4 linked regions of the Caenorhabditis elegans genome follow. The protein of the gene in region 1 interacts with the protein of each later gene in a pairwise test. Each region holds a gene or a part of one and is shown in the gene's direction. Other genes may lie near its edges. The genes, in order: rbr-2, zfh-2, lin-11 and sdz-12.

Region 1 (7,543 bases):
GTAAGAATGTGTGTAGTCGTGTGAAACAAGTCTTTTTCGCCCTTTCGTTTTTAATCAGCTTCTTCACACGCAGACAGCTGATTCTGCTTTTGCAGTTATAATCTATGTCTTCTCATTCTCTCGCGCGCAACCATCGTTTATTTCAAAACGGGCGCATAATAACTTTTTAATGAGTTTGATTTAGTTTTGAAAAATAATATTCACATTCCTTAGAAACTATGGAGATTCACAATTCGGCGAAATCAGTTTCTACATATTACTGTGTACTTTTTACAACTTCTATGATTTTAAAGTGGCGAGTTTATGCGGAATGGTCTCGCCACGCTCTGCGATTTTTTTTTCAGAAATCTGGTATGTGCGCCTTTAAGATTACTGTAGAGGGTTTGCTGGCAAATCTCCAATTTTCTCGTTTCTCCCTTTTCTTCATTTTCGATTGTTCTTTTCCCAATTTTCTGTATTTTATGTAATTAGACATGCCAGAAAAATCTCTACAGTCATCTTAAAGGCGCACACGCCAATTTTTTCATGAGTTCGCAGTGCGTGGCGAGACCATTCCGCATTGATACGCCTCCCTTTAAAACCGTAGTAAACAAACACAGTCTCAAATCTTCAATTAAAAATGCTGGCTCTCGGAGCCATAATTCCATGTTCTCTTTTTCTCTCAGTCTGTGTTCATTTTACATGCGTCTTCCTGCTTTCTCTTCGTTTTCTTTGTGTGCGCCCATCTTTCCTCAGCTGCTGGCCTCAAAAAAAAGTTAGTGCAAAAATTCACGTATTACTAGGAGGCACATGCGAGAACGCGTCGCGCACATAACATGAATAAAGTGTGATTGGGCAGGAGACCGAGAGATTATTGCTAGCGAATAGCATGCAAACAGAGGAGTGACAAGACGACGAGAGTGGACACTCGAGAGTAATGTTCGGCGGAGCGCACTTTCCTCGATTTTCGTGGGCCGACCCTGGTGGGCGCTGGGGGCTATTTCCTCTCGGTTTTTCGATTTTATCTATATTTTTTTCTGTTTCTCCGCTTATCTTTACCGCACGCAATTTCTGACGAAAAGGACACCGACCTACTGCAAAGTGGTCAAAGAATACCAGTCTCTCAATGCATTTTAGGTGACACATCAAAAAGATTCAGAGAGATGGAGTTTTCAATGATTTGAGTTACTATACGATGCCTTACGTGTCTTGACCTACATTTAAAACTCTACCAAAGATCCTTGTCTAAACTTTGAAAAGCTGCTCGACCTCAAAAATTGGAGAAATATATATATTTAAATATGAGTCATTTTTCAGCTTAATTATTTATACAATATTAAGTTCAAATCAAAAGCTTAATAAGAAAAAGCTTAAAAGCCAATTTTAAAGGAGTATAAGCTAATTTTCATTTCCGGGTTTCTATGACGTCTATCATAACACTCGTGATGCATCTTGTTTCATCACATGGAAATTTCTCGTCGGTACTTAAAATGTTCTTCTTCTCAAAGCTTTTAATTTCAATTAATATTAAAGTCAAACAAAAATGAAATTTACAGATCTCATGAAGCTATAAGCCAAACTGAAAAATGCGTGCACGTCGTCAAGAGAACAGTATCTCGACGCCGTCAGCACCGTCGACGAGCACTTCTCCGCGGAAGAAAGCATCCATCGGAAATTCAAGATCTAAGAATCATGGAAGCAAAATGGAAATGTACGATCAATTCTATAAGGTTTGATTACTAAGACATACATAAGGTGAATAAGCTTTCATAGTTTTCAGAAATTCGTACGACCTCCAATGGCTCCAATTTACTACCCGACAGAAGAAGAGTTCTCAGATCCAATCGAGTATGTTGCCAAAATACGACACGAGGCCGAAAAATTTGGAGTTGTTAAAATTGTTCCGCCGGCGGTAAGTTATTTATTCGGAAAATTGTACGTCTGACGTTTAACAAGTTTTTAATCGTTTTTGAAAAGTCTGAAAAAAAGCGAAACAATGTTTGTAGTAGTTTAAAAACTTCTACTACTCCCTTCAATTAAATACTAAATATTAGAAAATTTTCAGTTTACTAAAAGAATGGTCACCACTTGAAAAGTGCAATTTTATCTGAAAATTTTTGATTTTTCCCTCAAAAAACGAATCGAGAAGCATCAACTCTCTTTTTTTGCAGAATTTCAAACCACCGTTTGCTATCGACAAAGAAGCCTTTACATTTCGTCCCCGAACTCAAAAACTGAATGAAGTGGAGGCAATTGTCAAAGAGAAACACACATTTATTGACCGATTAATCAATTTCAATCGATATTCTGGTCTAACTTTTGAGTTTCCAGTGGATCGAGATGGAAATATTGTCGATTTGTATCGATTACATCGTATAGTTCAAAACTTTGGAGGATGTGAAGAAGTGAATGAAGATGAAAAATGGAGAGACGTTGCCCGCGAATACCTTCCAAAGGAGCAAATGGCTCGCGGTGTTCCGTCGGCTTTCATAAATTTGATTCGATCACATTATAATTTGCACATTGAACCATTTAATCGAAATTTGAAAGAAAAAGCGATGAAAAATGATGATGAAAGTGATGATGAAATGGAAGAATTAAAGCATAAGTGAGTAATTAAGAAATTTAAATAAATAAAAATCTACAAATCAGTTAAGAAAACATAATGTAGATGGATTTTTTTGAAATTATATGCATTTTAAATTTTTCTTATGTACCCATGTTTTTGTTTTTTAGAACCATGAAAAAATGTTAAAACCGATAAATAGTAAAATTTTTAATTTTGTTATTAATAATTTCCCCCATTATTCTAATTAAAAACGAATGAATTTCATAGATATCAACATCACCACGGAACTATGCGGACAGAAATAGAAGTTCCAAATGATAAAACTACTGAAGGAGGGGAAGATGAGTGTCCAGTGTCGATGCAAAGTGGTCGACGGAGATCTAAAAATAAGAAGGCTTCATCTTCAAGAAAGACTCTTGGAACATCTTCAAAGAAGAATTCAACCAGAGGAAGAAGTTCGTTTTTTAAATTTAAATTTTTTAAATTTATTTTCACAAATTACAGAAAATAAGAAGAAAGCCGAAGGAGACGATGATGATGATGAAGATCCAATGGATCAAGTATTCTGCGTTGCTTGTAATGAAGGAAAGGATGAAGATCTACTACTTCTTTGCGATATTGATGGATGCAATAATGGTCGTCATACATATTGTTGTGATCCAGTACTCGATGAAGTACCAGAAGGCGAGTGGAGATGTCCAAAGTGCATTGAATCAGAGGATGCAAAAATCGGATTAGACTGGGGATTTTATGATGCGGACACAGAATACAATCTGAACTCATTCACTGAATTTGCCAACAAATGGAAATGTGATTATTTCGGTGTAAAAGATGTATCACAAGTGTCGTGTGATGCTGTGGAACGATCATTCTGGAAGAATGTAATTTCACACGAAAATCCAGTTTCTGTCAAATACGGTGCCGACTTGATTACGAGTCGAGTAGGAAGTGGATTTCCTCGAAAAGAAGATAAGCACACTGGCCCAGATCTGAAGCTGAAGCAGCAATACGCTTCACATGCATGGAATCTGAACAATATGCCTGTACTTCGAGAATCTGTTCTCTCACATTTTAATACTGGAATTTCTGGAATGATGGTACCGTGGGTCTATGTTGGTATGTGCTTCTCGACGTTCTGCTGGCACACCGAAGATCATTGGACGTATTCTGTTAACTATAATCATTTTGGAGAACGGAAAATTTGGTACGGTGTTGGTGGAGAAGATGCTGAAAAGTTTGAAGATGCATTGAAGAAAATAGCACCTGGATTAACTGGAAGACAAAGAGATCTATTCCATCATATGACTACAGCTGCAAATCCTCATCTTCTTCGTTCATTGGGAGTTCCAATTCATTCAGTTCACCAGAATGCTGGTGAATTCGTCATTACATTCCCACGTGCTTATCATGCTGGTTTCAATGAGGGACTCAACTTTGCGGAAGCTGTCAATTTCGCTCCAATTGATTGGCTATCAAAAGGTCGAGAATGCGTTGAGTCTTACTCAAATGTACGAAGATATCTTGTATTTTCTCATGATGAGCTTCTCTTTAAAATGGTTGAAGCAATGGATAAACTTGGAATTTCGATGAGTTTAGCAACACATGAAGAACTGATAAGAATATATGAAAAACAAAAAATGTTGAGAGAACTTCTCGCTCGCCTCGGAGTTTCCAATCGCCAAATGCAGCAAGTGATGTTCGAAAAGATTCCAGATGAACAAAGATCGTGTCGTTTTTGTAAGACGACTCTCTTCATGTGTGCATTGGTTTGTAACAAACACAAGAAAATGACTTGTGTTGAACATCATGATCATCTTTGCAATTCGTGTACAACGAAAGACTACAGATATCAGTACAGATTCGAGTTGGATCAATTGAACAATATGTGTGATGAACTTGGAAAGCGTACGGTTAACTACAATGGATGGAAAGAAGAGTCGGATGAGATGCTTGAAGAAGAAGGAAAACCAAAACTCGAGAGAATTGAAGAGTTTATAGATTCTGCCAAACAAAACAAGTATCCACAGACAGATCAAGTTCATAAATTGATAACAATTCGTCATACAGCCAAGAGTGCCATTGAAAAAGCAAATCAATTGCTCTTTAAGAAAGTACGAACGCGAACAAAAACCCGATGTCAGAGAGCCGACACTCGTACAGACACCGAGGGAGTACGGTCATTGATTGAACAAATGCAAGCCATGGATTGCAATTTGACTGTTATTATTGATAAACTTGAGAAATGGATGGAACAAGTTGAAATGTGGAGAAACAGAGCAAAAGATGCTATCTATCGAGAACAAGAATACTCAAAAGAAGAAATCGAGAAGATTATTGAAGAGGGAGATGAATATGATATTAAATTGGAAGAAATCGATGAGTTGCGAAAAGTTATTCAAATGAAGGATTGGTCGGATAGAGCAAGAAAAGTTACTACATGGAAGGCAACTCCCGATATGGAGAAAGATATTGATTTTGAGTATAAGCTTCGATATGCATCCAGTGATATTTTATCGTAAGATTTTAAAAATATTTTTTCTCTTAAAAGGAAATTTGTGTTTGTGGATTTTTCCTCGAATGGGCTCGGCCCAAAACGACCGAATTTCATGATGAGACCTTAAAAATATTTCCAAATACTCTATACCCCTTTAATTCAAAAATTCAATTATATGTTTCAGATTGATTCGTGATAGTCCACGAAATCCCACAGATGGTACTTCTAAACTCGTCTTTGAACTTCAACAAATGCTCCGTGACGCCAATACACTCGAGGTCATTGCAAACAATTTCTGTGAGAATCCAGCACTTGATCAGCTTCAATCAATTTGGCAAAGCCTTAGAGAAACTGATTGGTTCTATGAAAAATGTTTGTTATTTAATGCATTAGTAATTCTTACAAAATAATTTTTAAGATATTAACATGGTTCGCTATGAGATCATTCATGTTGCCAAAATCAAGTCAATGATAGATGCCGCAATTCCCGTGCTATCAGAATTTGATTTAAAAACACAACTGCAGAAAATTGTCAATGTTGAAATTACACTATCGAAGGCGGCCGAAATCAGTAAAGCATTCGAAACTTCAAAATGTCTAAACGGTTCCGAAGAGCATCTCGGGATTTTGGATATGATCAGCACAATGAATGCATTTACTCAGAGGATAGCTATTCTGTTCAAGCCAAATAATGCGTATCACAATCTTTTTGAAGTGAGTGAGATTCGTGAAATTTGACGATTTTTCGCAAAAAATACGGTACCCGGTCTCGACACGACAATTTTAGTTAAATACAAACGAATGTGCGCCTTTAAAGATTACTGTAGCTTCATAATTTCGTTACTGCGGAATTTTCATAGATTTTTCATAGTTTTCGTTATAAATTTATTTATTTAATAAAAAACTATGTTGAAATAATTAAAAACATGAGACAAATACTAAGAAAAAAAAAGAAAAATCAAGGAAAATTTCGCAGAACCAAAAATTTGAAATTACAGTATCTTTAAAGGCGCGCACCTTTTTAAATTAAACGAAAAAATTTCGTGTCGAGACCGGTGACCGTATATTTGGGTAACATTAATCCAATCAGGAAGTAGCATAGACATTAGCTTCGATCTAATTTGCCTTAAACTTGAATTTTCCAGATTCTCTCCGAACGCGATGATTTAACTCCACTTGCTGAAGGACAAACGATACCATTATATTTTCAAGGAGGCGCAGTACATCCATCTGATGAATGGCATCAAATGAAAGAATTCGAGTCATTAGATCAAATTGTGCATCATCAATCATCGCTACGTGAAATGCAAATGAGAATTTTTGAAAAGGTGAAACAAGCAAATTCAGCTCGTGGTCTTGAAGCATGCTCATGTCTTGGATTCAACAAATCAGATGATTCCGAATCAACACTGACATGCATAATGTGCGATTCAGAGTTTCATGTTCGATGTTGCGAGTGGTCACCGTTCCTTGAAAAACTTCCAGAAGGATGCTTTTTATGTGTTCGATGTCTACGGGGACAACGTCCAGTCATTGATGATGTAACAACTGCTCTGAATGGAACACCTTCTGGATGTTTGGAAACACATCTTGTTCGAAATCTAATACAAAAAACTCGTGGAATCACTCAAAATTTGATGGAAGCTGCTAATAAACGGAAATCAGGAGAATCCAGCGACGATATTTGTAAAATTGCCTTATTCGATTGGCTATCGTGTGAAATTCTGAATCCCAATGGTCTTCCGAAGGCACGCGAGCTGATTTCAGAATTTTATATGGAATATCTTCAAAAACAGTCAAGGTTTGTACACATTATATGTATTAATTTTATTTTTAATTTTTTCAGCGCCGCACTAGAACTCAAAAATCGCCCGGTTCGTTCAAAACCATCGGTATCACTCTTCGATCCAAAAATCACAGCTAAACGCAAAAGGCCAAGTGTTTCACACAAAGAGACGTCGAAAAAATCACGCAAACGTCAAAGTCAAGCATCACCCAGTGAATATTACGAAGACGAGTCTGAATTCAAGTCGTGTCAAGCTCGCGCCTGTTTGAAGCCATATGGAGACTCAGTGAACTGGGTGATGTGTGAAGCAGGCTGCAAAAACTGGTTCCATGTGATTTGTCTTGGATTCACTCTGAGAGGTAAATTAAGATCGGGTTTTGTGGTTTTTTGGAAAAAAAATTTAATTGTAAGGAGAAAAAAAAACGAACCTTTGTTTTGTGACAGACCTGATCTCAAAAAAAAACTTTGTGCCAAAAATACGGTACCCGGTCTCGACACGACAATTTTTGTGAAACACAAACGGGTGTGCGCCTTCAAAAAGTATACTGTAGTTACCAACTCTCGTTTCTGTGGGATTTCATTGTCGTAAAACTTTAAAAAATTTTAAAAACTTCCGCGTTTTTATTTACTCTTTAAAGGCACACAACTTTTTTGCAAGTAAAAAAAATTGCCGTGTCGAGACCGGCTACCATATTTGTTCAATTTTGCGTATTTG
Region 2 (4,890 bases), on another chromosome or scaffold:
ACATCGTTTAAACGTGTTACCTCTCTCGGGGCCCCCTCTTCTCCTACTTCTTATTTGCTCAAAATTTGCGCGTCGAAATTTCTTCGTCGTGCGCTGCCCCTTCCGAATAATCAGATTCACCAATGTATAAAATAGGCCACGCCTCACTTTTTCCACACCCATCATCTTCCCTCAACTTTCCTCTTCTCAAATGCCTAATCAGCCAGTTATAACGAGGGTGCTCTTCGTGTGGCGCCCCGCCCATTTTATTGCTCCTCTCACGCTTCATTCTCACTTTTTCTGGGGATCCTTTTTTTTGCAGACCTAAAAATTTGAGCTCAGCCATATTTTTTTTGTAAATATAATCAAAAAAAAATAGACATTAGTCAAAAAAGTTGTTTTAAGCCTAAAAAAATTTTTCAGATAAAAAACGTTTTTCTTTAACTTTTTTGAACAGTTTTTCAGTGAAATATTTTTAAATTTTTATTTTAAAAAAATGTTTGTTTATCTAAGCCTAAGCCTGAGCCTAAGCCTAATAACCCTAAATAGCGTCAGTGTGGGAGCTCACGCTCCCCCACTGACGCCAAGCCTAAGCCTACGCCTAAGCCAAAGCCTAGGCCTAAGCCTGGGCCGAAGCTGAGACCTAAGCTTAAGCCTAAGCCTAAGACTAAGACTGAGTTCAAGCCTAAGCCTAAGACTAAGCCTGAGTCTCAGCCTAAGCCTAAGCCTAAGCCTAAGCCATTTTTAAAAAGCTTAAAAATTTTTGCAATTACTATTTTTTCTGAAAATCTGTAAAAATATCGAATTTTTAGAGTTGCTATAAAATTTAAAATAATATTCAAAAAATAATCCGAAAAAATTAAATTTTTTTTCTCAAAACGTAGATCATACAGAATCAGCTTTAAAAAATTCAAACCATTTTTCGTTTCAAAAATGTTCAGAAAATTTGTAAAACTTGAGTTTTGAAGAAAGTTTTCATAAACTAGCTCTTGAATAGGGTTTTTAAGTAGGCGTTAAAACGCTTGCCTGCCTGACCTTCAGGCGACTTTCGCCTGCCTGCTTGACTTTCAGACGTTCTCTGCCTGCCTGCCTGACTTTAAGGCGACCTCCGCCTGCCTCTCGCCTCAATCCGAGCCTTATCTCTTAAAATGTTTTTCATCAAATTGATAAAAATACGGAAATTACAAAATTTTGTAAGTTCATGCCAAAATGCAGGCATCAGGCCCTGAGGCCACGCCTGCCTAGGCCTCCGACTTTCGTTCTACAATTGTCGTTGCCGTTTCCTTTATCCCATTTTCATACCCCAAAGTTATGATTTTTCTTACACCCCTTGCGCTGCTGCTGCTTCCGCTCCCGTGATCTTATGAATCAGTAGTCAGAACTGCAGGTGTGAATCTCCACAATGATCACCCAATAAACGCGAAACACCATTAGAAACAAAGTGTCCCCCGTTTTTTTTTTCTGAGAGTGTCGGCACCCCCCTAACATATGCGGGGAACATTGTCTCAAGTTTTGTGTGCTCCTCCAGCTCCTCCATATGGTTACCGTAGTCCCCTGTCAGTGTTGTGTAATTGTTGTTGTAACTATCCCCCGAATACCTCTCCTCACATTCATTCACAACACAGGTGTCAACTCAACTCTCAGTGCTCATTTGAAGTTTATGAAGTTTAGCTTCCGGGGATGGCTCTCCTGGGCTCCCCGCTCCCTCGAAAATTTAATTAATTGCAAGCACATGTGGTGGTGGTGGGGCGAGCTCCGCGCTTCCCCCCCCGCCCCGATTCTCTCTCTCTCATTTGCGACTCATTAGATTTTAAATCACTCTCAAACTTTCCACTTTTCCAACTTTCGCGTTTTTTAAATTTTTTTTTCACTTTTTCCTCACAAATTCATCCAAAAAAATTTCCAGAGTTGCCCCGCCCATATATTGGCTAAATGGTAGAATGGACGTGGCACTTTTGACAATGGATGACAACAACAAACCGCCGACAAGTTCAGAGTCTACGGAGAGTAGGGGTGAGTTTGGCCGGGGGACCGATAATTTTTAGGCCAAGACTTCTTTTTTTTTAAATCATTTTCAAAGGTACGTTACCTTCACGTGGTGCCAGGTTGTCCCATTGCTTTTTGATCTACAGAAAATGCGGGATTTTTTCCCCAAAAAATGTGACATAAGCAAGTTTTTAAATCTTTTCTCCCGCATTTTTTTGTAGATCTACGTAGATCATACTCTGACACCACGTGTACCTTGAACCTCCTGGCTTTCTGAAACTAGAGTTCGTCGCTAGAGCGCATTTGCATTGTCGTGGTATTTAATTTACAGTACCGCCAGAATCATGTCGCGCCGCTTGTAGTCTAGTGGTTAACACGCTTCAGCTCTAAACAATAGGTCCGGGGTTCGATTCCTTGCAAGATGAAATTTCTTTCTCAAGATGGAGGTACATATGTGCTTTAAATGTGCACTAGAGATAGCGAAACTGATACCATGGTCCGACATGTACAGGGTTCCGCGCGCGCCTAGGGCCTCCAAAACGCCTGCTGCTCCAGTTTTGCGGCGACCTCCGCCTAACTCGCGGCGCGCCTTCTGTATAGTCACGGCCTTCTGTCTTCCCTCATAAATTGAAATGGAAGAGTTTTTGCCGAACTAGGCCATCTTGGCTCGGTCACATCTGGGCTCGATTTTAGTTGTAAAACTAAATGTATTTGTCCGTGTGGAGTGCACGACTTGCCCACGCGTTGACCGGCGGGCGATTGCCAATGGAGCGCGAAAAATTCAATAAGGAAGGCCAGAACCCCGTGTATAGTGCCGCGCGTGGAGCCCGAAAAGTGTCAGCCGCGGCGGAAGAACCACATTCCATAGGACTAAAAAACTAAAGTTCTCTCTTTCAGAAACATCACCACCAATGATGCCAGATTCTGCGGAGATAATGCGACTTCTTACGGATCCTTCGACGGCTCAGATGTTTGGTAGGTCATAGATCAAATTTTTTCCGCAATTTCCCGAAAAATTTCAGCCAACGAAAACACAAAATGTCAGCTGGGACGGATTCTCGCCGCGTCAGGCTTCGACGAGGCGAGCCTCTCCTCCTCGTTTCCGTTCGATCCGACGCTCGGCGCGTTCGCCGACATTTCCCAATTCTCATCACTCCGAAATTCGTCGAAAACGCTGAAATGTCCAAAGTGTAATTGGCACTACAAGTACCAGGAGACCCTTGAAATTCATATGAAGGAGAAGCACAACGATGTGGATGTCAAGTGCATGTTTTGTGCCGAGAACCGTCCCCACCCGAAGCTGGCTCGCGGTGAGACGTACTCGTGCGGTTATAAGCCATATCGATGCGATTTGTGTCGGTACAGTACGACGACAAAGGGCAATTTGAGTATTCATATGCAAAGTGATAAGCATCTTCATGCAGTGCAAGAGCTCCCGAATAGTATAGGTAGGTGGGGGGGGGAGGCGAAGGGTACTGTAGTTTTCGTGGTGGGACCCAAGAATTTGAATTTCACAAGAATTTAACTGTTGAACTCGAACTTTTCGATTCTAGGGTCTCGCCACGCAAAAACACTTACGCCAACTTTTTTGAACCCTAAAAAATGATACTCAAATTAGAGTTCTCAGTGAGCTAAATTCGATTTTACAGTATTTTTTTAATTTGACGTTCTGTGGGTCTTACACTCAAAGGGTACTGTAGTTTTCGTGGTGGGACCCACTTGTCCAAAAATGGACGTGATTATATTTGGATTAAAGCCCCTAACTTTTCTGATTTTTTTAATAAATTGGTTTTATTTTGAAAAGACTGAGAAAATTGAGTTTAGATCGAAATCAATAAAAATCGCGTCGAGACCCAAATTTCCCGGGTCTCGGCACGAAAATGGGGGAGAGGGTACTGTAGTTTTCTGGCTTCTCTCATAAATTGAAATGGAAGAGTTTTTGCCGAACTAGGCCGGCCATATCTGGGGTAGATTTACGGCGCGTTGCGTGTCGCGGCTCAATTTTTGTTTTAAAACATGAGGAAGACCAGAATCCCGTGTTTTCGTGGTGGGACCCAAATGGGTCATGATTATACTTATTTGAAAGGCCTTAAGCTGAATTCAGATTTAAGATTTTTATTATTTTAATTCAAAAATATCCTGAATTTTCCAGAATTCGCAGCCAACTTCGCGTGTGGTGCTCCAGTTAGCCGAAGTAGTCCAATCGAAGAGTCCGACGGATCCCTGGTCTGCTTGATCTGCGGTATCTTCGCCACCGAATCTATCGCCGAAATGATGGAACACGTGGAACAAGACCGTTCCAGGACGTTCCAAGGAGACGTTACCGTCCTAAACGGGAGCTTCCGGTGCCACTTGTGCCCGTATAATACCACATTGAAAGCCAATTTTCAACTACACACAAGGACGGATAAGCATCTGCAAAAGGTTCAAATTGTGAGTTTTGTATTCCCCTCTCATCATCTTCTTATTTTTATTGTGTCGCCCTTTTCCCATTTTTGTGTGTCTGTGTGTGTATGCGCACCGATTTGCATATACACATAAATTCATGATTTAATAGCGTAATGAGTAATATTTGCTTTGCCAAGGCTAACAGTTTTCGTATTTTAAAGCCTTTTTTCTACAATTTTTGAAAAAAAAATTCAAAAATTTGAACATTTCAATATATCCCTAGAAAGCTCAAAATTGTAGTGAAAATTTTGAATTCAGTACGCTGAGACCTTTAAAATAAGTATAATCATTACTAGGTTTTGGTTCTGACGCGAAAGTGTTCGTGGCGGAGCCCAAGCAAGGCGTAATTGATTATAGGGTCTTTGCACGCAAAAAATTTAAGGTCCGGTAGGCGTGGCGGGGAGTTTTTCTTGAATTATTTTAGTTTTTCATAAATTTTCAATTTTTTGGAATTTATTTTTCTCTCCCTTCCCCCGC
Region 3 (7,789 bases), on another chromosome or scaffold:
CTACCGTCATCTCATTCCGCTCGTCTTCTATTACCGTAATCCTTCAGTTTTATTTCCAATTTCTGCGCGAAATGGCATTGTTTCAGTAGGAGGTGACAAGCCCGAAATGGGATGACACTAGACCAAGGACAACCTCACCGGAAGAAAAAATAACAATCACTGAACTCGTAGATATAGTTGACACACAAGAAATGACAAGTTCAAAATGAGAAAATCATTTCACTTTTACTCTAGTTGTATACGTGACACTTTTGATTTCATATCGAATGAGTTTGTCCTTCTATCCAGCTGATTCTGTTCGGTTGGATGTGGTTTGTATTATATTGAAAACATGCCCAAAGTCAAACAGGTGAAGAGCAGAACTTTTTGCTCGAAACCTGATTGAAACTGTGTTTATTTGTTCCATTGACGGCTCTTTGAATTAAAATTTTGAATTGGTGGTGTCTAAAGATTTCATTTGGTCGAGGCGTCAAGGGGCGCCTCTGATCCGTCGATTCACTGGTATTTATCAAGAGATTGCTTCTGTGGGTTAAATAAGTTTTGGTTGTATTTTACCGGACTAGCTATTCTTTTTTCAATGTGCTGAAAAACAATTTGAATACAGAATTACAGAGCTTGCGAAGTTTTGAACTGAGAAAAATCCTTCTAATTTAGGATATTTGTTCCTAAAATAACATGTAATACAAAAAAGTAAAAATCATTGTAGTTGTATGACCCCGATGAAAACAAATGGAAAGTTTCAAAGTAGCGAATTAAATCTTAGCGCACTCAATTATACAACTTTAACAGCTCAGAAAGTGTTCAATTAAAAATTCAATTGAAATTAAAAGAAACATTTTAAAGCTTCCGATTTCGGAACGATAATCAAACTTTTTGAATTTAAAATGTATGTATAAAAATATTGTATTAATTTGAAAATAACCCCAATCTTTTTTGCGAAGATTGAAAAGAATCTGAAAAACTGGCTGAATGTTGACTGCCTAAAAAAATATCACAAACAATTTTTATGGAAAATGGCAAATTTAAGGAAAAGTTTGACGATTTTTCTGAAATTTTTAATAAAATTGACTTGGTTTTCATATGAACCAAATATTTTTCTAGATTTCCACATTTGAAAAGTTGCGTTATTGTACCAAAGTGGGCCGTTTTGTAGATTGGTACAAAATTAATATATACGGTATCCCATTTTAGACAATCGTTCTTCTGGTAAAAAATTCCAGAAAAAATCCGAAAAAAATTAAACGTAATTTGCAAAACTTGATCGTAGAATAATGTCACTATCAAAACAAAAATTACTAAAAACCACCCCTTGAAGTTATAAAAACTACCCTATTAGACTTGCACCCCTTTTGATCTACTTTAAAAGCTTATATTTTTGCTGTCTTTAGTTTTTATCAAAATTGTAAACTGATAAAATACTTGGAAAATATTTTTCTTTATTTCTCATGTTGACTATTTTTGATATAACTGAAGATAACAGAGATATAAGGTGTGAAAGAAAACGTAGTGCAATACAGAAAATACGGTGAATGAAAAATATTTGAACTATCATGAGCATTTAAACCAAAAGCGATCCCTATTCTCTCGTTCTTCTTATTTTTCTTCTAGGCTTCAACATTCGTAATTTCCTCTCTCTCTTTCCCTCAATAGCTCTCATTCTTCAGGCTTTCTCTCTCTCTCTCTCTCTCTTGTGTCAATAACTCCGCCCATCAACCAGCCAGCCTCCTGGTGCCCCAACCACCGTAACCTTCGTGGTCGTTCTTCTTCTTCTTCTCCTCCTCCTTTTACTCCCTTCTCAATGCATTCTTCTTCTTCGTTCATCATCACCTCACTGGAAGAAGAGGAGAAGAAGCCTCCTGCTCATCATCTTCATCAGCAGTCAATTGAAGACGTCGGCAGTGTCACCTCATCTGCCACGTTGCTGCTTCTCGACTCTGCCACGTGGATGATGCCATCGTCAACGACTCAGCCGCACATCTCTGAAATTAGTGGAAATGAGTGTGCCGCGTGTGCACAGCCTATTCTTGACAGGTATCGGTCCCTCACCTTTTTTTGCAATTTATGATTATTTTCCGTTTAGTCTCATTCCAATTTTCATCTCTAGCTGCTGTAACACCACCTCTCTCGCCCCTAATTGAATTTTTCCATTTTCGATTCATTTCCCCCTCTCAACCCCTTCGACAGCAGCAGCACTAGCAGTCATTTCATTTTCAGCCGACACTTTCACTTACTTTCAGATATGTATTCACTGTGCTCGGAAAATGCTGGCATCAGTCTTGTCTTCGATGTTGTGACTGTCGAGCGCCCATGTCAATGACTTGTTTTAGTAGAGATGGTCTTATTCTGTGTAAAACTGATTTTTCAAGGTAAGTTCCGAGCAACATTAATTTCTAAGAACTGTGATCTATAAAGAGCCGGGCTGCAAGTTTTGAGCTCTTGGAGATAGTTCAAAAACATCTTACAATTAGGTTGTGATGAATTTTCCATTGAATTTTCCAGTGTGCAAACTTTAAAAGTTCTAACTGAACGCTGAAGTTTTGAAGCTGAAAACCTCTAAGATTCTTCAACAGTGACAATTTCAAAATTCCAAATTTTTAGTCAAAAGTTTATGTAAAAATATATAAAACATGATCAATTTGAAAACTACGTTTATTTTCATTGAAAAATAAAAAAAAGTCCTGAAATCTGGTATGAAATTGTAATAACTATTTTCTGGTAGATGTCAATTTTCAGTAAGTCTCTCAGATTTTTTTCAGTCTTTTGCAACATATTTTTCATATTGAAAAATTGGTTTTTTTCATGCCAATTCAAATAATCGTACTGCGAATCGTCACCCACTCCTGGATATATTGTAGTTCCAAAACTTTGCCAAAAAGGGCTAGGAGAATATATTCAAGCAAATGACGGCATAAAATTTAAAGATTCCGCAATTCCAAAATCCTCCCAAAACATGTTCTAAAGTTTTGAAGATCATATTCCAAAATTCTCAAATTTCTTATGCTTTCAAGCTCACTTGTAGTAAACAAATCTTACTTGCTTATTTTGATTTTCAAATTTCAAATTCTATATCTAAATTTTCCCACGGTTCCCACGGTGTCCATAATTATTTTACCTACCTGATTGTGATTTTCAGGCGATATAGTCAACGGTGTGCCGGATGCGATGGGAAATTGGAAAAAGAGGATCTGGTGAGACGAGCAAGAGATAAAGTTTTTCATATTCGATGTTTTCAATGCTCCGTTTGTCAAAGGTTATTGGACACTGGTGACCAGGTGAGCCAGGCTAAGCCTCTTCTCTATATAAGATTGATTGTACTTTTGATCTTATATATTAATCCAGGCTGGTACCTTAATTGAACTAAAGTTTCAAATAAGTTTTATATTATTTAAGGCTGACGGTAAGTGATATTTGACGTTTTAACTGGCAGTTCTTTTTAAGCTTGTCTCCACCATTATCAAGGTTTTTCTATAAGTTGAGCGGTGACTCAGATGAAATTAGATATTCATAGTCGCTATTTTCTCACGTCTAACTTATACTGATAAGCCCATTTGCAAATAAGATACGCAGATCCCTAAAAATCACATGCTCACACCTCTTGAATGTGTCCCCATCATGAGCCCCTGTCAGTTGCACCTGCCTCTTACCGAGAGCTCTCTACCACTCAAGCTTCACGCCTTCTTGTCATTCAAAATGTTTTGTTTTCTTGAATAGAAGATGTCACTGAATGTCATTGATGCTGTTCTGAGTATTGTTTTGACTCATGTAGATGAAACAGATAGTTGATTAAAATTTTGATCATAAACATTATAGGGAACATCAAAAACTATTTCTGTCTAGAGGCGCGCTGAATATCTAAAAACCCTCTCAACTTCCATACTGTTTGTTTTGGTATAATAATTCTACTTTTTAAAAAAGAAAAATTAATGTAGAAATATAGAAAAAAATATTCGATTGACTTCAAAATAATGAATAAATATTTTAAATGGAACGTTTGAAAAATACTTCAAGTACTGTTTCGGAAGTTATCAAAACTACTGTTAAAGTTTTTCAGATTTTTTGAACTTTTCCAAAAAAAAAACACTTTATTTCAGATCAATCAAATATTTTAATTTTTTTAAAATTTGTTTTATTTGAAAAATTTGGTTGTCGTTGTATAGTTGCCGGAAGTATTTGCCGGACACCATACTTTAAACATTTCTCATTATCAGTTGAAAAACAATACGTTAAAACAATTTTCCAAGAATACTAGGATTTTGGAGCAACCGTTCAAAATGTCTCGAGGCGCATATTATCTTCTCATTGCTCATTGCTTCTGCTTATATTAATTTCAAATCAGTTAAACTACCCACTGACCAACCGGTAGATCTTATCTCAATGCCATTTTCCTTCCATTTTCCATCCTGTCTTCCTGCTTCAAAACCTTCCCCAATTCCCTTTGGGATGTGTCCTGTTGTCACTCTACAATCATCTTCTTTCCATCCGTCTCTAACCTATTATACTTTATAATTGCATTACACGGGGGACCTAGTCAAGGTTTGAGACAGCTCCAACTGTCATGAAAATATGCGAGGGGTTCCCACGATTGTTTTTGTTTTTTTTTCGCGGAATTTTTAGTGTTATTTTGCAGCTTTATATCATGGAAGGCAATCGATTCGTGTGTCAAAGTGATTTTCAAACAGCAACCAAAACATCAACGCCCACATCGATTCATAGGCCCGGTAAGGTTTTTAAAAATAAAGAAAGGGAAAGAGAAAGAGACGAAGAATTGAGTTTTAAAGATAATACAAAAGTTGTTCAAAGTTATGGTAGAAGGTGGAGTTTTCATAAAATTGTTGACTGCTGAGGCGTCCAAGGCCTACTCCAATAATTGAATGAAGGCAGATAGGCTAGAGGCAGACAAGTGAGCCTGAACACATGCCTACCTACCATGAAATTCTTTATCTCTGAAGTAACACCGCCAGACATAATTTTCAGTAGATACCCAAAAAGTCAAAAAAGAATTCCCAGATTTCAAGTCATAAAATCCTTAGAAATTTCTTCTTCTTCTCATAAAACCAGAGACATACGTTCTAATCCATGCTTCCGTTTCAAACGTATTTAAGATGAGCCAGCGAGCCATGTGTTGTTTGAATAGTTTTACGATGATAGGTATCTCTGCACAAAAGAGGAAGAGACAGACAGCTGTCAACACAGAAAACATTTCTTTGTATTCGAATTACCGCAAAATAGTAAGGAAGGGGGGATAATCTCGTTGCGGAATGGACATACACTGGTATTAGACAGATGATGTTCTTTTGTTACAGTATCCAATGGATCCGAATGCAATTCCGATGTGGAGGAGGATAATGTGGATGCTTGTGATGAGGTGGGTCTGAAATATATACTTCTCTGGAATTGCCATTTAGGATCAGTTTTTACTTTTTTTTAAAATAGAAAGTTCTAGTAGTGGCTAAAAAGTTTGCTGTAAACGAATCTTTAAAAAATACAAATATTTTTCTAATCAGTTTAATAAAGAAGCATACTTCCCTACTTTTGACAGCTGGTATCATTTGAAATGATTGCAAAAATGGCTCAACACTAAAAATATTGAAAAGATTTAACCTATAACTTACAAGTCAAAATGTTTTGTTAGAACCAAAGTGAATCTAATCTAACTTATTAAAATTTCAGGTCGGACTCGATGATGGAGAAGGCGATTGTGGGAAGGACAATTCAGATGACTCGAATTCTGCGAAAAGGCGTGGCCCTCGAACGACAATTAAAGCAAAACAAGTGAGTTTTCTGAAGTAGAAAAAATTATCTATGTCGGAAAGGAAAGTGCAAACATAATTATTGAAATAACTTTTTGAAAAAATAATTAAATTTCTAAATCCAGGTCAGTGTAACAAATATTTTGTCAGTTGACAATTTTTTGGTAAAACATAGTCTGATCAAGATTTGTGCTGCCAAAGTTGGGCAAAACTGACAGAGGATATCAGATTTTAAAATTCTAATTAATGTTTGATAAAGAATCCAGCGTTTCCTGCTGAAAATCTTGAATTTCCCCACTTAAAAAATATCTTATTACTGTCCAAAGCTTCAATAAATATTTTCAGCTTGAAACCTTAAAAAACGCGTTCGCCGCAACACCCAAACCAACTCGACATATCCGTGAACAACTTGCCGCCGAGACAGGACTCAACATGAGAGTCATTCAGGTTTCTATTCTTCTTCTTTTTTTCTTTTTTTGCACATGTCTAAGTATCCTCGAAATGCACTATCTCTCACAAATTCTCATTTCCCGCTTTAATTCACCTGCCCCGCCCTTCTCTCTCTTGGGGGAGGACACATCCTTCCACACGCACACACACAAATTCAATTACCGTAGTCCTTGAAAGGAGAGAGAGGGAAAAACGGAAAGAAGAAAAAGAGAAAAAAGTGAGTGGATACTGTAGTTTCTAACTAATATCATGTTATTTACTGTAAGAAAGATGTACACATCACATGATTTTTATGTAACAATAGAAATAATAATGATCATAATCATAATAACTGATAACAGGAAACTTAACGGAAAGCCATAGGAAATTGGTTGTGTTTAGAGAGCTATACGAAAATGATGATGAAAGAGAAAATGGGAAACAATTTCAATTTGGAAGATAAAAATCTGAGTGGTCAAGGGAGAGAATTGCAATGAGAAATTTGAGTTGAACTCAGAAAATTCGTTTTTTTGTTCAAATTTTTGAACCCTGAATATTCGGAATTCCAAAATTAATTGTAGTCTTAATTTTTTGTGTGAAATATTTTTAGCCTACTTCCACCGATCAATTAAATTTTAATTCTGTTTATCTGCACAGTTGCCCCATAATAGTAAACTTAAAAAACTGCTAACACATAACTTTTAGTGTTTTGATTCGAAAATTTGGAAATAACTGAACTAAAAAAGGGTTCGCTCTCTATATTGATTTTTTTCAAAAATTTAATCTTCGTGTACAGTGTTTTAGTTCACTTTTAAACTTCTAAATGAAAAAGTAGTCAACTACAGAGGACCATTCGGAACTGAAAAAACTCGATCTGAATAGAACTTTTTTTCATAAAAACATATGATTGAAAAAAAAATTCGACTATTTTTTCTTTTTTTTCTTGGATTTCTGGACTTGGGAAAATAATCCGGGCGTTTTCGAAAATTTTTCAATCGTTCAAAACAATCTGAAATTTTAAAAATTGAATTTGGGTGATAAAAGATTCAGTAATTTTTTTCAAAAAATTCAAAGTTTCCAAAATCTTTAAGAATCTTCCATAAATCTACTTTTGGTAAAATTCCGAGAATGAAAATGAACAATTTCAGATCGGCTTTTTCAAGTTCAAAATGCTCTTCTACAGATAACATAATTTTTCTGTGGGGCTCACTCAAAATATATTTTTCCAAATGACACAGGGTTTACCTTTAATAGATAATTTTCTCCATTAATTTGTTTTCCAAATAAATTTCCATTTTACAGGTGTGGTTTCAAAACCGCCGAAGCAAGGAACGAAGAATGAAACAACTTCGTTTTGGAGGATATCGTCAATCCCGAAGACCACGCCGTGACGATATTGTAGATATGTTCCCGAATGGTGAGTCCACTTAATCGCTTCTTCTCGTTCTCAAATATTACGCAACACCAATTATCACGGTAGCGTGAAAAACAGATGAAAACACGAGGGTAGGGCGTTAGAAGCAGGTGTTCCAATGGCAAAAAGTCGATTTTCTGCACAATATGTACTAGGTTAAGCTGGATTAAAGGCGGTTCAACGATGATGAGGGGGT
Region 4 (4,050 bases), on another chromosome or scaffold:
GAGCTACTAATGCCTAATTCAGCCGAGGAATCTGATGTTCATGGCATGCGTGCCTATCGAATTAAAAACATTCATGGAACTTTTTCTATTTGGAGGTTCTGATTTCTTTATTCCATCGTTTTTTCTAATCAACACTACTTCTATTTACGACGACGACGACGAGTTACTGTCAAACACCGTCCGACGATTGAAATCTTCAATTTTTTCCAGTTTTTGAGATTTTTTTCGAGTCTTTCGAATTAAGCTTATTTTCGAAACCTCTAACTTCTTATTTTTCTATGTTTTTGAACTTCACTTTTCAAAACTATATTTTTAAACTCCACAAAATATAACTATGTATATGTCTTATCAAAATACTTTATGAAATGCTAGATAAAAGTTTCTTGAATTCTTGACTTGACTTTTTCTGGTTTGGTCTGGTTCATGATTTGAATTTCTTCTGTAAGTCTTCAAATTTTCTCATCAATATAATATAAAGAAAACGTAAATTTATTTTTTGTACTGGCAAATAAAACTTTACAATTGAAAACAGAGAAAAAATAGTGGCCAAAAATCAGTTATTAGAAAAATGCAATTCATATTTGAAAACGAACAATTTTTAAACTTCAAGAACTCGCTTCAAGACCCGCTTCATCAGGAATGGGCTCATTTCATCAATGTTTCCAGCGATAATTGAGCGGACATCTTGGATGGTTTTGATGGTGTTGCAGCAGTGAATCTGGAAGATAAAATAAGGTTATATTCAGGTGCACGCACTTACCTCTAGTTTCTCCAACTTGTATCTAATTGCCAATTCCAATTTCTTTTTCCCGGACTTCTCGGACTCCTTGTAAAGAAATTTCTCGCATTTCCCAATAACCGCTCTAGAATCGTACATGTCAGCAAGTTGAAGGATTCCTTCGACGGTATTGTCTGAAATTTTTAAATTATTACCAATGTGAGCACTAAAAACTAACCATCAATCGAGTCCTCCAAATAGAGAACTTCCAAAAATGCCTGGAAGGCTTCCGGGTCTATCCCAGAGAGGGTAACCTCTGATTTCTTCGACTCGCCGAAACTGCCAAAGAACAAGGATTTGAAGTAGGAGCACTGCAGAGCGAGATGCTTTCTCAGAACATGAAATCTCTGCTCATCCACTACCAAAACCACATCGGACAGCTCTCCCATAGACTCATTGTCGAACTTCAAAACCGGATCTCTTCCCTTGAACCCAGAAGCGTTCAATATTTGAACATGAACTTTAAAGTGTAGCGCATCTTCAATCACAAAGTTTTTTGCGACTTTCTCCCAATCGGCAAACTGCTTCCATCCCCATGAGTTTTCCTTCGGCTTCTCACTATTGAAATTTACAGTGGCTGTTTTGCAGTGGGGAGATTCATTGGGAGATCTAAGCTTCACTTCAACATTCGCCTGAACTGACCAAATTGTGCCAAGTTGGTCGCAACTAAGATACACCTCAAGTTGATCAGTTCTTCGATTGACATGGAGTTTCCTGGAAATATAAAAATTTAAATAAAAAAAGGAAAGTTAAAAATACCATGGAATATAGTAATATTCTTTAACCTCGCTGCAATAAGTGGTATCCGGCTTGAAGTTGGAGATTGCTTTAATAGTGTAAGTTGACACAAATTCCTTTGTTATAACGAGCATGTCTACTAACCTACTAAATTGCAGAAAAATGACGAATAGGAAGACTTGTAGAGGCAGATTATGAGTGAATAACGCTAGGAGATAATCTTAGTGGATCGATAAAATAATGCATAATGCAGCGTCTCGTTTCCCGGCAAATTTGGCACAGTTGGCAGCTGGTCTTCCAAAAATGTTGTGAATTTTGTTAAAGATTACAATATTCCCCCCAAAGAAGGTGCATCGTCAATGGAGAAATTACTGAAAAAACTGAGATACTGAAAAACTCAATCAGCTCTACAATGTGCAATTACACACATTTCATAAATTCGTCGGCCCCGCTTCTCCAAAAGCCCCAACGTCATATGTGACGCAACTTCTCACAGCTTTCGAGGACACAGTCTTTGAACTTATGTACCTCTTTTTGCAACTACGCAAAAACATTTCTCACTCCCCTTCCTCCCTGCCCTCGGACAATCCGCAGAGATTTCTTCTGTGAAAATGAGTTTGTCATCACTAGACGCCGTATTGTCGCTTATTGCAACCTCTTCCACTTTGGATCAGGATTCTGCTAAGGTGCCCCAGTGTCAAGTTTGCAAAAGAAAGTTCGCGAATCAGGTTAGTTTTTGAAGTGAGCAAAAAAGTGTTGTTAATTTATCTTAATTTTACAAAATTTACTGTACAGCAGATAATCTTCCTTTTTTTGCTAGTTAGTATATAGAGCTCACTACCATTTTTCAGAAAACGCTGAGAACGCACATGAAGCACATTACGTGTAGGCCTGGACGTTCCAATGTGGTGAGTTTTTGAGAAAATGTTTAAGCCACTGAGCTTCTCCTCCTCCAACTATACGTTTTTTCAGGTCAATCACAAATTCAGATGTGAAAATTGTGAGAAACAATTCACCAACAAGCCAAACTTGAAGCGTCATCAAATAACTCACTCTGGTTCAAAATCCAAGAAGTGCAGCACTTGCCAGAGAACATTCTTCAGGGAAGATCAGGCAAGCAGATTTTATTCCATTTTTCCTGTTCAATTCCAGCAATTTGTAATTTTCAGCTTCAAAGGCACCTGCACAACCATCTCAAGGAAAGATCACATTTCGACTGTCCCGTGTTGAACTGTTCAATGCAGTTCGTATTCTATGAGGGCGTTGAAAATCATCTCGTAAACCATCACCACTTTTCATACAGCGAATCGGCTCCGTGTGGAAAATGCCACAAGTTATTCGGGAGTCCTAGGCATCTCCTGGTACACTACCATTTTGATCATAAAGAGGTGAAAAGCTTTATAATTCTTTAAGACTTAACAATCCTTTCAGGCTCTGCGCTCTTCGGCTCCTGCTCCCACAAGCTCCGCCAGACTGTCACCTATCACCGTATCAACTTCAGGAAGTCCCAGAGCTCAGTTGGCAATCTCGCCACAAGAGAAGCCGCCTCAAAAATTGAGCATAAATCTAGGAACTTCCCCGATGATCGAAGAATTCTGTGAACAGAACTCGGTATGTTTTCATTTTCAATATTGGTTTTGGTGCCGTTCTTTGAAACCATTAGACTTGAAATTTTCAGGCAACTCTTCCAAACACTGATCAACAGCTCTCACCAACTCTAAGCCCCAATGAGCCAAGGTTTAGAAATCTAATTACCAGTGAGCCAACCCCAAGCTTTGTAAGTTCTTAAGTTTCAAAGTACACTTTCATCAACTCAAAAGCTCTTCAGGAATGCAAGCACTGCACGATCAAGTTCCACGATGCCACAATGAGCATCATGCATAACGCCCTTCACGCGCCAGGAAGCCCATTCAAATGTGCAATTTGTGGAGCAGAATGTGGAAATAAGATCGTGTTCACCATGCACATCATCACTGCGAGTCATGATTTTGGTGGCATAGGAACTTAATTGATAAGATTCTACTGCTTAATTAATATTTTTTCTTGTTAAAAGTACTCAATGAATCTCGTTCTCGCCCTTGAAGGAAACTGATAATTGTTGATAACTACGGTAACCTACAGTACCCTATTCTATCGTGATCACTGATTTTATGGAGTAATCAAACAATTAGTTGGTCTTCAGAATACAGGACTGGTAGATCAAACTACGCATAGTTTCTTTTTCTATCTACATCTTCTTCACTCTCCTTCCCATTTGCTCTCTGCCAATACCGCGCGCCAAATCGATAATTGCGCCCCACCAAAACACTCTGCGCGGGTTCATTTATTCCTTCACCTCTACTCTCTTATCAATGGACCTGCCTGAAGCTCAAGCTCTTGTGCCAGTTTATTCTCAGGTACTGTAAAATTTTCACAAATTAATTAATAAAGGATCCATTTTTTTTCAGGAATTGCGCAAGGTGCAACAGTTCAAGTAATTACATTCTCAGAAATCTCTGAGCAATCACATACGGAACACCAAATGTGGACTTGGG

Evidence for each region.
Region 2: the proteins of rbr-2 (region 1) and zfh-2 interact in a two-hybrid assay, tested with the Caenorhabditis elegans proteins (one large-scale study listed by BioGRID).
Region 3: the proteins of rbr-2 (region 1) and lin-11 interact in a two-hybrid assay, tested with the Caenorhabditis elegans proteins (one large-scale study listed by BioGRID).
Region 4: the proteins of rbr-2 (region 1) and sdz-12 interact in a two-hybrid assay, tested with the Caenorhabditis elegans proteins (one large-scale study listed by BioGRID).

Annotation. Positions count from the first base shown.
Region 1 is NC_003282.8:10,918,542-10,926,084, forward strand, and holds the start of rbr-2 (Lysine-specific demethylase rbr-2), read left to right. Parts: upstream 1-1,528; 5' UTR 1,529-1,565; coding exon 1,566-1,709; intron 1,710-1,752; coding exon of another isoform or gene 1,753-1,759; coding exon 1,760-1,891; intron 1,892-2,150; coding exon 2,151-2,587; intron 2,588-2,815; coding exon 2,816-3,003; intron 3,004-3,052; coding exon 3,053-5,063; intron 5,064-5,226; coding exon 5,227-5,414; intron 5,415-5,460; coding exon 5,461-5,756; intron 5,757-6,187; coding exon 6,188-6,843; intron 6,844-6,888; coding exon 6,889-7,187; intron 7,188-7,543. UniProt on the Caenorhabditis elegans protein: Histone demethylase that specifically demethylates 'Lys-4' of histone H3, thereby playing a central role in histone code. Does not demethylate histone H3 'Lys-9', H3 'Lys-27', H3 'Lys-36', H3 'Lys-79' or H4 'Lys-20'.
Region 2 is NC_003279.8:801,483-806,372, forward strand, and holds the start of zfh-2 (Zinc Finger and Homeobox), read left to right. Parts: upstream 1-1,885; 5' UTR 1,886-1,919; coding exon 1,920-1,992; intron 1,993-2,317; exon of another isoform or gene 2,318-2,390; intron 2,391-2,862; coding exon 2,863-2,940; intron 2,941-2,987; coding exon 2,988-3,413; intron 3,414-4,117; coding exon 4,118-4,398; intron 4,399-4,890.
Region 3 is NC_003279.8:10,246,541-10,254,329, forward strand, and holds the start of lin-11 (Protein lin-11), read left to right. Parts: upstream 1-1,751; 5' UTR 1,752-1,798; coding exon 1,799-2,031; intron 2,032-2,237; coding exon 2,238-2,366; intron 2,367-3,133; coding exon 3,134-3,272; intron 3,273-4,627; coding exon 4,628-4,718; intron 4,719-5,303; coding exon 5,304-5,365; intron 5,366-5,670; coding exon 5,671-5,772; intron 5,773-6,095; coding exon 6,096-6,197; intron 6,198-7,481; coding exon 7,482-7,596; intron 7,597-7,789. UniProt on the Caenorhabditis elegans protein: Probable transcription factor which is required for asymmetric division of vulval blast cells. Involved in olfactory plasticity probably by regulating the expression of transcription factor mbr-1 in RIF neurons.
Region 4 is NC_003280.10:3,729,626-3,733,675, reverse strand, and holds sdz-12 (Zinc finger protein sdz-12), read left to right. Parts: upstream 1-1,852; 5' UTR 1,853-2,127; coding exon 2,128-2,244; intron 2,245-2,367; coding exon 2,368-2,424; intron 2,425-2,488; coding exon 2,489-2,629; intron 2,630-2,685; coding exon 2,686-2,904; intron 2,905-2,947; coding exon 2,948-3,127; intron 3,128-3,194; coding exon 3,195-3,293; intron 3,294-3,344; coding exon 3,345-3,524; downstream 3,525-4,050. Other genes in the region: bath-31 (BTB domain-containing protein), read right to left, coding at 599-718, 761-912, 957-1,492, 1,538-1,650. UniProt on the Caenorhabditis elegans protein: Together with ehn-3, may play a role in gonadogenesis.